3 linked regions of the Ovis aries genome follow. The protein of the gene in region 1 binds, or shares a complex with, the protein of each later gene. Links are inferred from orthologs where the notes say so. Each region holds a gene or a part of one and is shown on either strand. Other genes may lie near its edges.

What was found.
Region 2: the proteins of FBLIM1 (region 1) and FLNC are in contact, whole or in part, in an NMR structure (PDB 2K9U), measured with the Homo sapiens proteins. The link is inferred for Ovis aries from reciprocal best matches to the Homo sapiens genes FBLIM1 and FLNC. Residues at the interface, in NP_001337080.1 of Homo sapiens: Arg8, Val9, Ala10, Ser11, Ser12, Val13, Phe14, Ile15, Thr16, Leu17, Pro19; in NP_001449.3 of Homo sapiens: Thr2339, Ala2344, Gly2345, Gly2346, Leu2347, Ser2348, Ile2349, Ala2350, Val2351, Glu2352, Gly2353, Pro2354, Ser2355, Lys2356, Ile2359, Phe2361, Asp2380, Glu2382, Phe2387.
Region 3: the proteins of FBLIM1 (region 1) and FLNA are in contact, whole or in part, in a crystal structure (PDB 4P3W), measured with the Homo sapiens proteins. The link is inferred for Ovis aries from reciprocal best matches to the Homo sapiens genes FBLIM1 and FLNA. Residues at the interface, in NP_001337080.1 of Homo sapiens: Lys7, Arg8, Val9, Ala10, Ser11, Ser12, Val13, Phe14, Ile15, Thr16, Leu17, Ala18, Pro19, Pro20; in NP_001104026.1 of Homo sapiens: Met2207, Gly2208, Thr2263, Arg2264, Gly2267, Ala2268, Gly2269, Gly2270, Leu2271, Ala2272, Ile2273, Ala2274, Val2275, Glu2276, Gly2277, Pro2278, Ser2279, Lys2280, Ala2281, Ile2283, Phe2285, Cys2293, Glu2306, Phe2311.

What each region holds. Positions count from the first base shown.
Region 1 is NC_056065.1:51,111,733-51,115,635, reverse strand, and holds the start of FBLIM1 (filamin-binding LIM protein 1), read left to right. Parts: upstream 1-982; 5' UTR 983-2,035; coding exon 2,036-2,199; intron 2,200-2,493; exon of another isoform or gene 2,494-2,705; intron 2,706-2,775; exon of another isoform or gene 2,776-3,530; intron 3,531-3,903. UniProt on the Homo sapiens protein: Serves as an anchoring site for cell-ECM adhesion proteins and filamin-containing actin filaments. Is implicated in cell shape modulation (spreading) and motility.
Region 2 is NC_056057.1:94,508,500-94,512,302, forward strand, and holds part of FLNC (filamin-C), read left to right. Parts: intron 1-31; coding exon 32-192; intron 193-409; coding exon 410-500; intron 501-606; coding exon 607-776; intron 777-970; coding exon 971-1,088; intron 1,089-1,182; coding exon 1,183-1,445; intron 1,446-2,043; coding exon 2,044-2,641; intron 2,642-3,256; coding exon 3,257-3,430; intron 3,431-3,541; coding exon 3,542-3,704; intron 3,705-3,803.
Region 3 is NC_056080.1:80,076,318-80,080,220, reverse strand, and holds the start of FLNA (filamin-A), read right to left. Parts: upstream 2,383-3,903; 5' UTR 2,268-2,382; intron 1-2,267. UniProt on the Homo sapiens protein: Promotes orthogonal branching of actin filaments and links actin filaments to membrane glycoproteins. Anchors various transmembrane proteins to the actin cytoskeleton and serves as a scaffold for a wide range of cytoplasmic signaling proteins.

The sequences.
Region 1 (3,903 bases):
GTAGCCCTCCAAGCTCCTCTGTCCTTGGGGATTCTCCAGGCAAGAATACTGGAATGAGTTGCCATGCCCTCCTCCAGGGGATCTTCCCAGCTCAGGGATCAAACCCAGGTCTCCCACGTTGCAGGCAGATTCTTTACCGTCTGGGCCACTGGGGAAGCCCCTGTGGATACCAGGACTGGTGACACCTGACTTGATTCTCGTGGGCTCCGTGACTCGAGCTGAGCACACAGCAGGTGCTCAACTGCTCTTTGGGTAGGAGGTTCCCCAGCAGACTGGACAGCGGCAAATGTCCCCACTGCCCTAAATCTTACTCTCCAGCCTCTCACCCACGTTCCCTGCCATGCAGGGTCTCAGCTTGTTGTTCAGGCTCTCAGTCATTTCTGATTCTTTGTGACTCCATGGACTGCAGCACACCAGGCTTCCCTGTCCTTCACCATCTAGAGTTTGCTCAGACTCATGTCCGTTGAGTCGGTAATGCCATCCAATCATCTTATCCTCTGTTGTCCCCTTCTCCTTTTGCCCCCAGTCTTTCCCAACGTCAGGATCTTTTCCAATGAGTCAGCCCTCTGCATCAAGTGGCCAAAGTATTGGAGCTTCAGCATCAGTCCTCCCAATGAATATAGTCCTTCTATAGGGTCTCGGCTGCTGCAAACCTAACAGATCGAATCTTTTTGCTCAGTGGCTTAGGAGAAAGCTGTTCCAGGCTGGCAGGACAGGAGGAGGGGAGCAGAGCCTCTAAGCTGGCAGACAAAGGGCGTGTGTTCTTATCCAGTGCACTTCCTGGGTTTCCATTGCAGGAAGCCGGGCACCTGCCGAGGTGACACAGACACCAAGGCTGGCGCTAGACTCCCTTGTCCGGGACGCTCCTCTCCCCCCGGGAGCAGCAGCAGAGGTGGGAAAGAGGTGCTGGACAGTTGGTAAGTGGCAGCAGCTGGACTCCACATTCCCCTTGGACCTGCCCTCTTCCAAGCCAGTCTTAGCTTAGCAGCAGGGAAGGCTTAGATCCTGCTTGGAGTCAGTGAGACCTTAGGCCCCACATCAACCTCACTGTCCCACCTGGAGGTGTGGTAGGTGCTTAGGGGAGGTATCATGGAGGTGAGGGGAAGGTAGCAACATTTTTATTTGCTTTAAATAAGCTTCTGAGTCACAATGCACTTTAAAAGGGAGTTCTATGGCTAAAAGGGTCTGAAAACCCCTGGATCAAACCTTCTTCCTTAGGGTCCTTCCCATGGCTGGCATCCAGTGGATTTTTCCTTCCTCCTGGGGAAGGTATAGAGATCTTGTTCCAAGGGGTGCTTGCAAAGGGAGGTAACCTTGTCAAGCAGGGGAATGACCCTGACCACGGGCTCAGGCAGCCTTGAGTGCGAGTCTCTCTCTGCTGAAAAGAGAGGGAGTCACCTGTCTTTGCAGCTTGAAGGGTGGCAGTCTCGCCAGCCGCTGGGACCTGCAGGGTGGCGTGTGTACCCAGGGGCACCTGCTGCTGTGGGTTGGAATCCAGCTCTGCCATTTGCCTCTTGTGTCGGCTTTGAGCCTCTCTGTGCCTCAGTTTCCTCATCTGTGAAGCAGGAATAATCAGCCTTTTCCCATAGGGCTCTCCCGGGAATTAAATGGAAAGGTCTGCAGGCCGAGCATCAGATAGGAAGCCCCTATGAACAGCAGCTACTGTTACTACTGTCGTTATTACAGGACTGGCTGTGAGGATGGAAAGGAAAAAGGGATGCAGAGCAGGATGGGAGAGGTGACCAAACACGAGTGAGGGATTTAGGGAGGCAGGGTGGGGGAGGAAGAGAAGCACAGGACAGGGTGTTCAGCGCCCCCCACCAGCCCCCAGAAGCATGACCCCCAAGAACAGCCCCAGAGCCCTCCAGCCAGCAGCGTGACTGCAGCTTTGGGCCCACAGAGGAGAGCCAGACCCTACCTGGCCTCCCTGCAGACGGTGCCGGCCCCAGCACTCCCCTGGCCTCCGCCACTGTGGCTTTAATCAAAAGAGCAATCTGTTTGCCTCTGAATCAGACCCAGATTCCTTTTCCCAGCAATGTTCCCTGGGCCTCCAGGGACTCAGGCGGCCCATCCAGGCTCCATCTCCTGCCCCAGAGCCCAGGCTGGGCTTCTCCCTCCCCATTCCACGTTTGGGGGACAGAGGAGCAGGAGGCTGGAGCAGTGGAGGGGTCAGATGCCGGGTCCAGCGTGGCAAACCGGGTAATCTGATTGCCAGCGAGGCCCTGTCTACCAGGCTTCCCGGAGGACCCTGTCCCCCCAGGACTCTGGGGACCCACCTGCAGAAGGCGTTAGGGGCCAGACAGGTCATTAGCCCCATTTTAGAGGCGAAGAAACTGAGGCTCAAGAAGGTGGAATGAATGCCTAGTGTCACAGGATTAGTGAGCGTCCGGGGAATCCAGGTCCCACCCGATCCTTAAGACCGTGGGAGATCCCAGGCCAAACTGGTGGGGCCACCACCCCAGGCGACCTCGGGGAGGGGGTTGGGGGAGGAGCACTCTGGGTTCACAAAGGACGAGGAGAGTGGGCACCCGAGGAGGCCGCCCACCCTCCAGGCCTGGGCCCAGGGGAAGGGAGGAGGGGTCGAGGGAACAAAGGGAACGGGGAGGGGGCGGCGCGGGGCGCGGCCGGCAGGTGGGGGGGCAGGTAGGGGCCGCTTCCGCCCGGCCGCGAGCCCGGGCCCCCTCCCCCAAGCTTCACCTTTTATGGTAAGGCGGCCGCGGCGGCGGGGCGGAGGGAGCCGAGGGGGCGGGGAGGGCGGAGGGGGCGGGAGGCGCCGCGCCGCTCCTGGCTCTGCTCGATCGGGTGACCGACCGGAGCCGCAGGGGGCGCGGGCGGCTCAGGTAAGCGGAGCGGGGGGGGGGGGGGGGGTCCCGTCCTGCCGTCCGCGCCCCCGGCTACACACAGGTGACAGCGCGGGCAGCCCCTGGCCGGCGCGCAGCCCTGCTCCCCGGCCCGGACCCCAACTCCGGCGCTCCCAGGGGGGCCCGCGGGGCTGGGGGCCGGGGGTGCGGGTCTCTGCTCCCCGGGCGGAGGGAGGGCGGGTCTGGAGGCAGCGCGGACGTCCCTGCCGCGGAGCGGCTCGCGGAGAGAAGCGGTAGAAGCAGGGCGGGAGCTCCCGCACAAAGAGGACAGCGTCCCGCACACGGATCGAACTAAAGTCCCCGGCGGCGCCCCACCGTGACCCTGCCAGCCGCCCCGCCTGGCTGCTTGCGGGAGGGCGCCGGGCTTCCCAAGGCCCTGGAAGCTCCGGGCCTCTTGCCCCAGCCGGGGTTAGGCGAGGGGCAGGAGGGGCCGCGGAACTGCCCCTCTCTGGGCCTCATATCCTCTGGGGGGGGGGTTGGTGCTGGGAAGGGGTGGGGCTGAGCTATTCCCAGGGTATGTGCCTGGGGCGCCCTGCCCTGAGTCCTCCTCCAGCCCAGAATCTGAGGACCCCGCGGAGAGACTGGGCAGCGCCCGGATCCCTGTTCTTCTCATTGATGGAAGCCAACTCCTGGTCTTCTCAGGGCCCCGGGGGTTCCGCCTCTCCTGAGGTACTGAGTAACTATCCGCTTTCTCTTGGCACCTACCCAGTACCAAGATCTTGAGCACCCCCTCTTCTTTTATGCTCTCAGCCACCCTTCCAAAAAGACCTCATTATTTCCACTCTTTGAAATAACAGAGGCCCAGAGAGGTTCAGTGACCTGCTTAGGGTGGCCCAGCAGGAAAGAGGTGGGGTTGGGGATGAACTCAGCCCTATGGGCCTCCTCCACTTCCCTGGGGTGGGAGAGAGGGAGAGGCCTTTCTGTCCCAGGCTCCAAGGCCAGGAGAGGGGGCTCAGTTTCACTCCCCCTGCCTGCAGTTTAACTCCCAACCAAGCCTAGGCTGCTTTCTCGGAGTACTGAAGAGCACAGCTTAGAGGAGGTC
Region 2 (3,803 bases), on another chromosome or scaffold:
GACTCATGGCCTCGTGCCTGCCTCCCTTCAGGCGATGTGAGCATTGGCATCAAGTGCGCCCCTGGCGTGGTGGGCCCTGCAGAGGCTGACATTGACTTTGACATCATTAAGAATGACAACGACACCTTCACAGTCAAGTACACACCTCCAGGGGCGGGCCGCTACACTATCATGGTGCTGTTTGCCAACCAGGTACCCTGTGCGTGGGTTTTGGTTATCAACCCTAACCTCAGCCCCTTACCCCATCCCAACCAGCAGCTTGAGAGGCTGTCATTTGGGGACAATTCTACTGCCCCTGATTGAGCACTTCCTGTGTGTGGACAACGTGCCTCAGAGGAAGCAAAAGAGACAAGGGACTCGATTCAGACACTGTCCATGTCCACCCTGACCAAGCCTTTTCTCCCTCCAGGAGATCCCCGCCAGCCCCTTCCACATCAAGGTGGACCCATCCCACGATGCCAGCAAGGTCAAGGCAGAGGGTCCTGGGCTGAACCGCACAGGTAGCTATCTGGGCTGTGCGGGGCTGGGCCGGGCCGGGCTGGGCTGGGCCGGGCTGGGCTGGATGGCCACCAATCCCTCACCACCATCTCGGGATGGGTGCTCCAGGTGTGGAAGTTGGGAAGCCCACTCACTTCACGGTGCTGACCAAGGGAGCTGGCAAGGCCAAGCTGGACGTGCACTTTGCCGGGGCCGCCAAGGGAGAAGCTGTGCGAGACTTCGAGATCATCGACAACCATGACTACTCCTACACCGTCAAGTACACGGCCGTGCAGCAGGTGTGCCCCGCCCCCCGGCCCTCCTGTCCTGGCTGACTGGGAGCGTGGAGCTCCTTCTTCCAGTCCCAGAGGGCCTGTTTGGGGTCTTGGCCCATTTCCTGCCTCCCCATCCTCTCTTGCCCTGGGTCTCTGAGCCTCTGGTCTGTGTCGCCGAGGACATGTTGGCAGTTCTGACGTCCTGCTGTACCCATTAGGGCAACATGGCGGTGACAGTGACCTATGGTGGAGACCCTGTCCCCAAGAGCCCCTTCGTGGTGAATGTGGCACCGCCGCTGGACCTCAGCAAAGTCAAGGTTCAAGGCCTCAACAGCAGTAAGTGGGGCAGGAGCTGCCCATGCAGTGAGGAGGGTTGAGGGGGGTGGTGGGTTGGAATCTCTGCTCACCGTGTCCCTCACCCTTCACACAGAGGTGGCTGTGGGGCAGGAACAGTCATTTTCTGTGAACACACGAGGGGCTGGCGGTCAGGGCCAGCTGGACGTGCGGATGACCTCTCCCTCCCGACGACCCATCCCCTGCAAGCTGGAGCCTGGCGGTGGAGCTGAGACCCAGGCGGTGCGGTACATGCCCCCTGAGGAGGGGCCCTACAAAGTGGACATCACCTATGATGGTCACCCAGTGCCTGGCAGCCCCTTCACCGTGGAGGGCGTCCTGCCCCCTGACCCCTCCAAGGTGAGGAAGTAGGGGTGGGTGGGAGCTGGGGGCTTGTAGGGAAGGTGGGTAGTTCACAGGGGCCGAGGCCAGAGGCCTCATGTCCTGGGGTGAGCACAGCCAAGGGCCCAGAGCCGAGGCAGTCCCCCAACTCAGGACTTGCCTATGAGACAGCTTAGTTTTTGTTTTTTATATTTTTATTAAAGTATAGTTGGTTTACAATGTTGTATTACTGCTGTACAGCAATGTGATTCGGTTATATATGCATACAAATGCATACATTACAAAATATTCTTTTCCATTATAGTTTATCACAGGATATTGAATATAGCTCTCTGTGCCATACAGTAGGACCTTGTTTATCTATTCCATATATAAAAACTCATATCAAGACAGCTTAGTTATTTAGAACCTGGCCTTGGATCTGATCTGGGCTTCAATCCCAAGTCCATCAGCCAGGACAAAGGTTTTAATCTCCCTGCGTTTCCTCACCTGGAATTGTAATCAGGACTCAGCCTGTGGGAGCTGCTATAGTTGCGAGTGCTTAGCTGATTTGGGAACCACGAAGGCTGGACGTGGGAACAGTCGAGGTAACCCACACACCTGCTCCTTCTTTTAGGTCTGTGCTTACGGCCCTGGTCTCAAGGGCGGGCTGGTAGGTACACCAGCTCCCTTCTCCATCGACACCAAGGGAGCGGGCACCGGTGGCCTGGGGTTGACCGTGGAGGGCCCCTGCGAGGCCAAGATCGAGTGCCAGGACAATGGGGATGGATCCTGTGCCGTCAGCTACCTGCCCACAGAGCCGGGCGAGTACACTATCAACATCCTGTTTGCCGAAGCCCACATCCCCGGCTCGCCCTTCAAGGCTACCATCCGGCCCGTGTTTGACCCGAGCAAGGTGCGGGCCAGCGGGCCAGGCCTGGAGCGCGGCAAGGCTGGGGAGGCGGCCACCTTCACTGTGGACTGCTCGGAGGCGGGCGAGGCCGAGCTGACCATTGAGATCCTGTCGGACGCCGGCGTCAAGGCCGAGGTGCTGATCCACAACAACGCGGACGGCACCTACCACATCACCTACAGCCCCGCCTTCCCCGGCACCTACACCATTACCATCAAGTACGGCGGGCACCCTGTACCCAAGTTCCCCACCCGCGTTCACGTGCAGCCCGCGGTCGACACCAGCGGGGTCAAGGTCTCAGGGCCCGGTGTGGAGCCGCATGGTGAGTGGGAGAAACCTGGAGCTGGTCACGTCACCGGTCAGGGGAAGAGGGAAGCAGGGCTGAGGGCTTAGAGGGCAGCGCTGGCGTCCCGGGGGCTCAGACACCCCTGAGAAGGTATCAAAGCCAAGGGCAGGGTGTGGGGCTTTGCCTTGGTCTGGGTGGCAAGGTTGCTTCTGCCTGTGGCCATTTTCCTCGGGAGATCCTCAACTTTCATCAGCCGATCTGAAAATCAAAGAATCTTGCACTTGATGGTACAGAGGGAAGGCTTTGGGGTCGAGGGCGACGAGAGTCAGGAGATGGTTCAGCTCAGTTCAGTGACTGAGTTACCATCTGCTGGGGGCCAGACCCTGGGCCAGGCAGGAGGGGGCATGCAGAGGGTTGCAAGAGCCAGCCCCATGCTCCAGGGGCCCACAGCTGGGTGGGGAGACTCAGGTGAGCAGAATGTCACTATCTGCTGAAGGGAGGGAGGACAGGGGCTGTGGGAGGCAGGGCCTGGGCTGTGGGGATGGTCCAGGCTGGGGAGTAGCAGGTGGAGAGGAGCCGCCTCGGAGCTGGGGAGGGAGGGCAGGGGTGGGCAGCCGGGTGAGGGCTGAGCACTCGTCTCCTGGGACCCAGGTGTCCTGCGTGAAGTGACCACCGAGTTCACTGTGGACGCGAGATCCCTGACAGCCACGGGTGGGAACCACGTGACGGCTCGCGTGCTCAACCCCTCGGGCGCTAAGACGGACACCTACGTGACCGACAACGGGGACGGCACCTACCGCGTGCAGTACACGGCCTACGAAGAGGGTGAGGGGCTTGGCTGGGCGGGGATGGCGGGGGTCTGGCCCCAGCGTTTTCAGAGGGGCGGGTGGTGGGGGCCGCGCACACTCTGACCTGCGCCGTGCGGCTGACTTCCAGGAGCACACTTGGTGGAGGTGCTGTACGATGACGTGGCAGTGCCCAAGAGCCCCTTCCGGGTGGGCGTGACTGAGGGCTGTGACCCCACCCGTGTCCGGGCCTTTGGGCCAGGCCTGGAGGGGGGCTTGGTCAACAAGGCTAACCGCTTCACCGTGGAAACCAGGTACGCCTGCCCCTTTCATAACCTTGACCCTGATGCTGTGGTTACACTGAGCCCAGCCACCTGCCCTCCCCCCTCATCCTCCTGTGTGTACCTCATCCC
Region 3 (3,903 bases), on another chromosome or scaffold:
GCCTGCGCCCGCCGGTCCCAACCGCCTCCCTCCCTCCCCCCTGCACCCCAGAGGAAATGGGGCACTGGGCCAGGAGGCCACCGGCGCTCCAGGAGCCAGCAGCCTTGGAAGGGGCCTGGGCATGCCAATGGGCACTGGCACGGGGTGCCCTGTGATGCGATGCATGCAGAGATGGCGGGTAAGCCTGCCTCACCCACCGGCAGTCTACCAGAGGCGCGAGGGGCTTCCCCTCCGTGGCTGGGATGGCCCCTGAGCCCAGCGTGACCCAGGAGGCTGCCAGAGGGACCTGCCCCGGGCTTCCGATAATGCACTCTGAGCACCTGGGTCTCAGTGGGCTTCGGGGTCGTGGGAGAACAGAGGAGGCCTCCCGGACAGGGGGGCCAGGGGACTGAGGGGGGGCAAACCATGAAAGGCAGCTGGGGCCTGCCGTGGAGCCAGGACTGGGTACTGGGGACCTATTCGCTCAAAATACATTTTCTTGTAGATAACTGGAGACTATGGGGGGGATACTAAGACCAACAAAGGCACAGAAGCAAGAGGCCTGTCAGGGACAGTCACTGCCACCTTCTTCAGTCTGGAGAAGCCAGCCTACTGGTGGCTTCGTCCCCAGAGTGGACTCACTTCCCTCGGTCCTGTGTCCTTCCCCTCTGCAGGATGTTCCCTTCTTCACATCTTTTTTTTTTTTTCCCCCAGAAAGGCATGTCTCTGTCCCTCCTGCTTCGTACTTAGATCGAGCTTCCTACTAGCAGTACCTCAGTTCTCTGCTAAAGACCAGTGGGAAAGAAGCCCCTAGGTCAGCATGCCCAAATAAGGCCAACTCTCACAGCCCTGGGGACTGTGTCACCCACAGTGGGGCTGCAGTCAGCACCTGGCCTCCAGCATGCTCTCTTTGGGGCTGCCTGGTACCCCACACTGGTTTTTGCTCACCAGTGACATTTTTCAGTCTAAAGGCCTGACCACTTTAGACACACCTGCGCAAAATTCCACACCATGGTGTCTGGGGACTGGGATGGAGGTGGGAGTGACAGCAGTAGAGGGGGACCCGTGCAGACTCCTCCCTAGCAGGCCCCACCCAAGCAGAGATGAGAGCCATCCTTCTGATCCCCTGCCCCCCTGAAGAGCCAGTCCCCCAAGGAGAGAATCATACTGAGAGTTCATTGTCACTTGACAAGTGCCATCCAGTTGCATTATCTGTGTTCTTTTCTTAATCTGCAGAGAGCAGGGAAACTGAGTCAGCGTCAGTAACCAGCAGCCAACTCCAGCAGAAAGGGGGACAGAAGCCCTGGCTGCCAGCCTTAGGCTTCTTCCCTATTTGGGGGGTGATAAGAGATGGGGCTCTAACGAGTTCTTGTCCCCAGGGGACATAGTATCACCACCAGGTGGCGCCCCATCCCAAAGCCCCCAGATAGGGCAGTCCCTGGAAGCTGAAATACAGCTCTTTCATATTTTCCCTTATTTGGAGTCGATTTCTTGGATGTTGTTAGACACACCCCGCCTCCCACCCCAACTCCTTCCCTCAGACCCCAAGCCAGGCCCTCCCACGGCTGGTGAAAGAGAGGCACAGGGTGGCAGGAGAGGCTGCCCAAGCCCAGGTGTGGCAGGCAGGCTGACAACGCTCCAGGGCTGAATTCCCACCTTGACTGCGCTGCTAGGAGCCCGTGCAGGTGGGTCTCCCAGCGGCCGTCACCTACTCCTCCTGGCCCAGGAATTGGGGTGGGTGGGGGTGGGGGGCTGGCCTTCACATCCTGCCTGGCAGTGAACATCCAGCTCAGAGCCAACCTGGGACAGGGCCCAGCCTCGAATCTAGCATGGCCAACCCCATGTGCCCTCGCCCCAGTGGAGCGCAGCAGCCCAGAAGCCAGCCCCACACCTCTACCCAACGCAGCCAATGCCCAGAGCACTGATGTCAGGGAGGAACCGACCGTCGACATCCCTCCTGGGGGCATATTGGCTGCAAAGTGTCTTTCCAGGTGGCCTCTCGCCCTGACCCCACACAACGTCCTGCTTCAGAGCCCTGCCTTCCTGGACAGTCATGCAATGACCTGCCCCCCAGTTCACCCTCCCAGGGCACCCCCATGGCTGTTGGGCTCTCACACTGCGGGGCCAGACCCAGATTCCCCAGGAAACCAGGGAAGGCGGCTGCACCACCACACCCCGGCTTGCAGCTGGCCCCGGGCACCCCACCACCAACTCCGTGAGCTGCCCGCCGACCACTCTGCTCGGTGCCCGCCAACCGCTCCGCCCGGTGCCCGCCGCGGACGCCTCACCTTCTCTCCCTGCGGGCGGCCGGCGGCCGCGGGGTGGCGCCTGGCAGATCTTCGAGCCCGCGCCTGGCGCCTCGGGGCTCTGCTGGCGTCTGCTGCGCGCCGGGCGCCTCCACGCGAATGGGCCGCTGCCGCCCGCCTTCTTGTTGGCCGCACCCCCGCCCCGCACCCGGCCCGACTCGGCCCGACGAGAAAGCCTTAATTGGTAAAAATCACCCAGGAGCGGGGCGGGGGGGGGGTTTCGAGGGGGGGCCCCGCGGGGGCGCGCCGTGAGCTCAGGCGCCTGGGCAGCCGGCGACGCCCCCCTACCCCCGTTGAGATGAGCTCACCCTCTGCTGACGGGGAGGGGCGGCCCGGAGGGTCTGCAGAGCCTGCGTCTCGGCCCAGCAACGAAGGCCACCTCCTCCAGGGAGCTGCCCAGTCTTGCGCCGCCCCCCTACCTTTACCCCAAGCCTGGGGCTGGTCGGACTAGTTGGATTCTACCTTGGAGGGGGAAGTGCAACAGGCTCTAGCAGGTATGCACTGAGAGCCTCCCACCTGAAAGTCTGCACGGGGGCAGGGACCTGAGCCCCAAGACAAGCCAAACAACATCCCGGGCTGGCATGGGTTTGGCCCCTGCCCAGTGCCAGGCCTGGCCTGGAAGCAAGCAACAGAAGTGGACTGAATTCTCAGCAGCACAGTTAGCTGCAGTCCTGAGGCCTGGGCATGGACAGTGGGGTGCAGCCGAGGAGCCAAGCGTCTGGGGAACTAGGTGGGCACAGCCACACCCTGGCACTGCCAGGCTCCCTCTTCGTCTTCTGTGTGCCCATTTCCTGGTATTAACAGCGTCGTATTCAGCTCAAATGTCACTTCCTCGGGGAAAGCCACACAAAGCAGTGTCTTCTCACTGTGCCCACAACCCCCACAAAGAACTGCATCTTACATCCTGAGCCAATATTTGCAGGCACACACGCAGATCGACACAAATGGCTGAAATAAACGTTCCACGAAGTGAGACTGTCCCTTACCACCTGAAAAGCACTCTGATCTTTCTTCTTTTATTCTACTTCATTAAAGGAGAAAAAGCAAAGAAGGGAGCTGCTGCTGCTGCTAAGTCGCTTCAGTCGTGTCTGATTCTGTGTGACCCCATAGACAGCAGCCCACCAGGCTCCGCCGTCCCTGGGATTCTCCAGGCAAGAACACTGGAGTGGGTTGCCATTTCCTTCTCCAAAAAGAAGGGAGGGAGGGAGGCAAAAGGGGAGAAGCAGGAAGGAACAGGGGGGAAGAAAGGAGAAGTCTGCTGTCACCTGCTAACGTAGTTTGATATCTACAGCTGCACACTAACAGGAAGGCACTGATTGCCCTCCAGGCCTCTCCGCAGCCACTGCTGCCTTTGTTGGCAATGACCTCTCCACCTTGACCCCAGGTGAGATCGCCTAGCAGTGGCCTCGGTCTCTGTTTCTCCCCGCCCCATCTAGTGGGATCCACCCCTCCGCCCCTCACGGCAGTGGGTTATCCTCCCTTGATAGATGAGCAGTCTCAGTTTAGGTCCACAAGGTAGCTCATGGCCAAGGCTATCCTTCAAGGAGGGACACCCACCTGCCAGAGGCATTGCAATGGGAATCAGTGTACAATAGCTGGGGTAGCAGAAAGGAAGTGA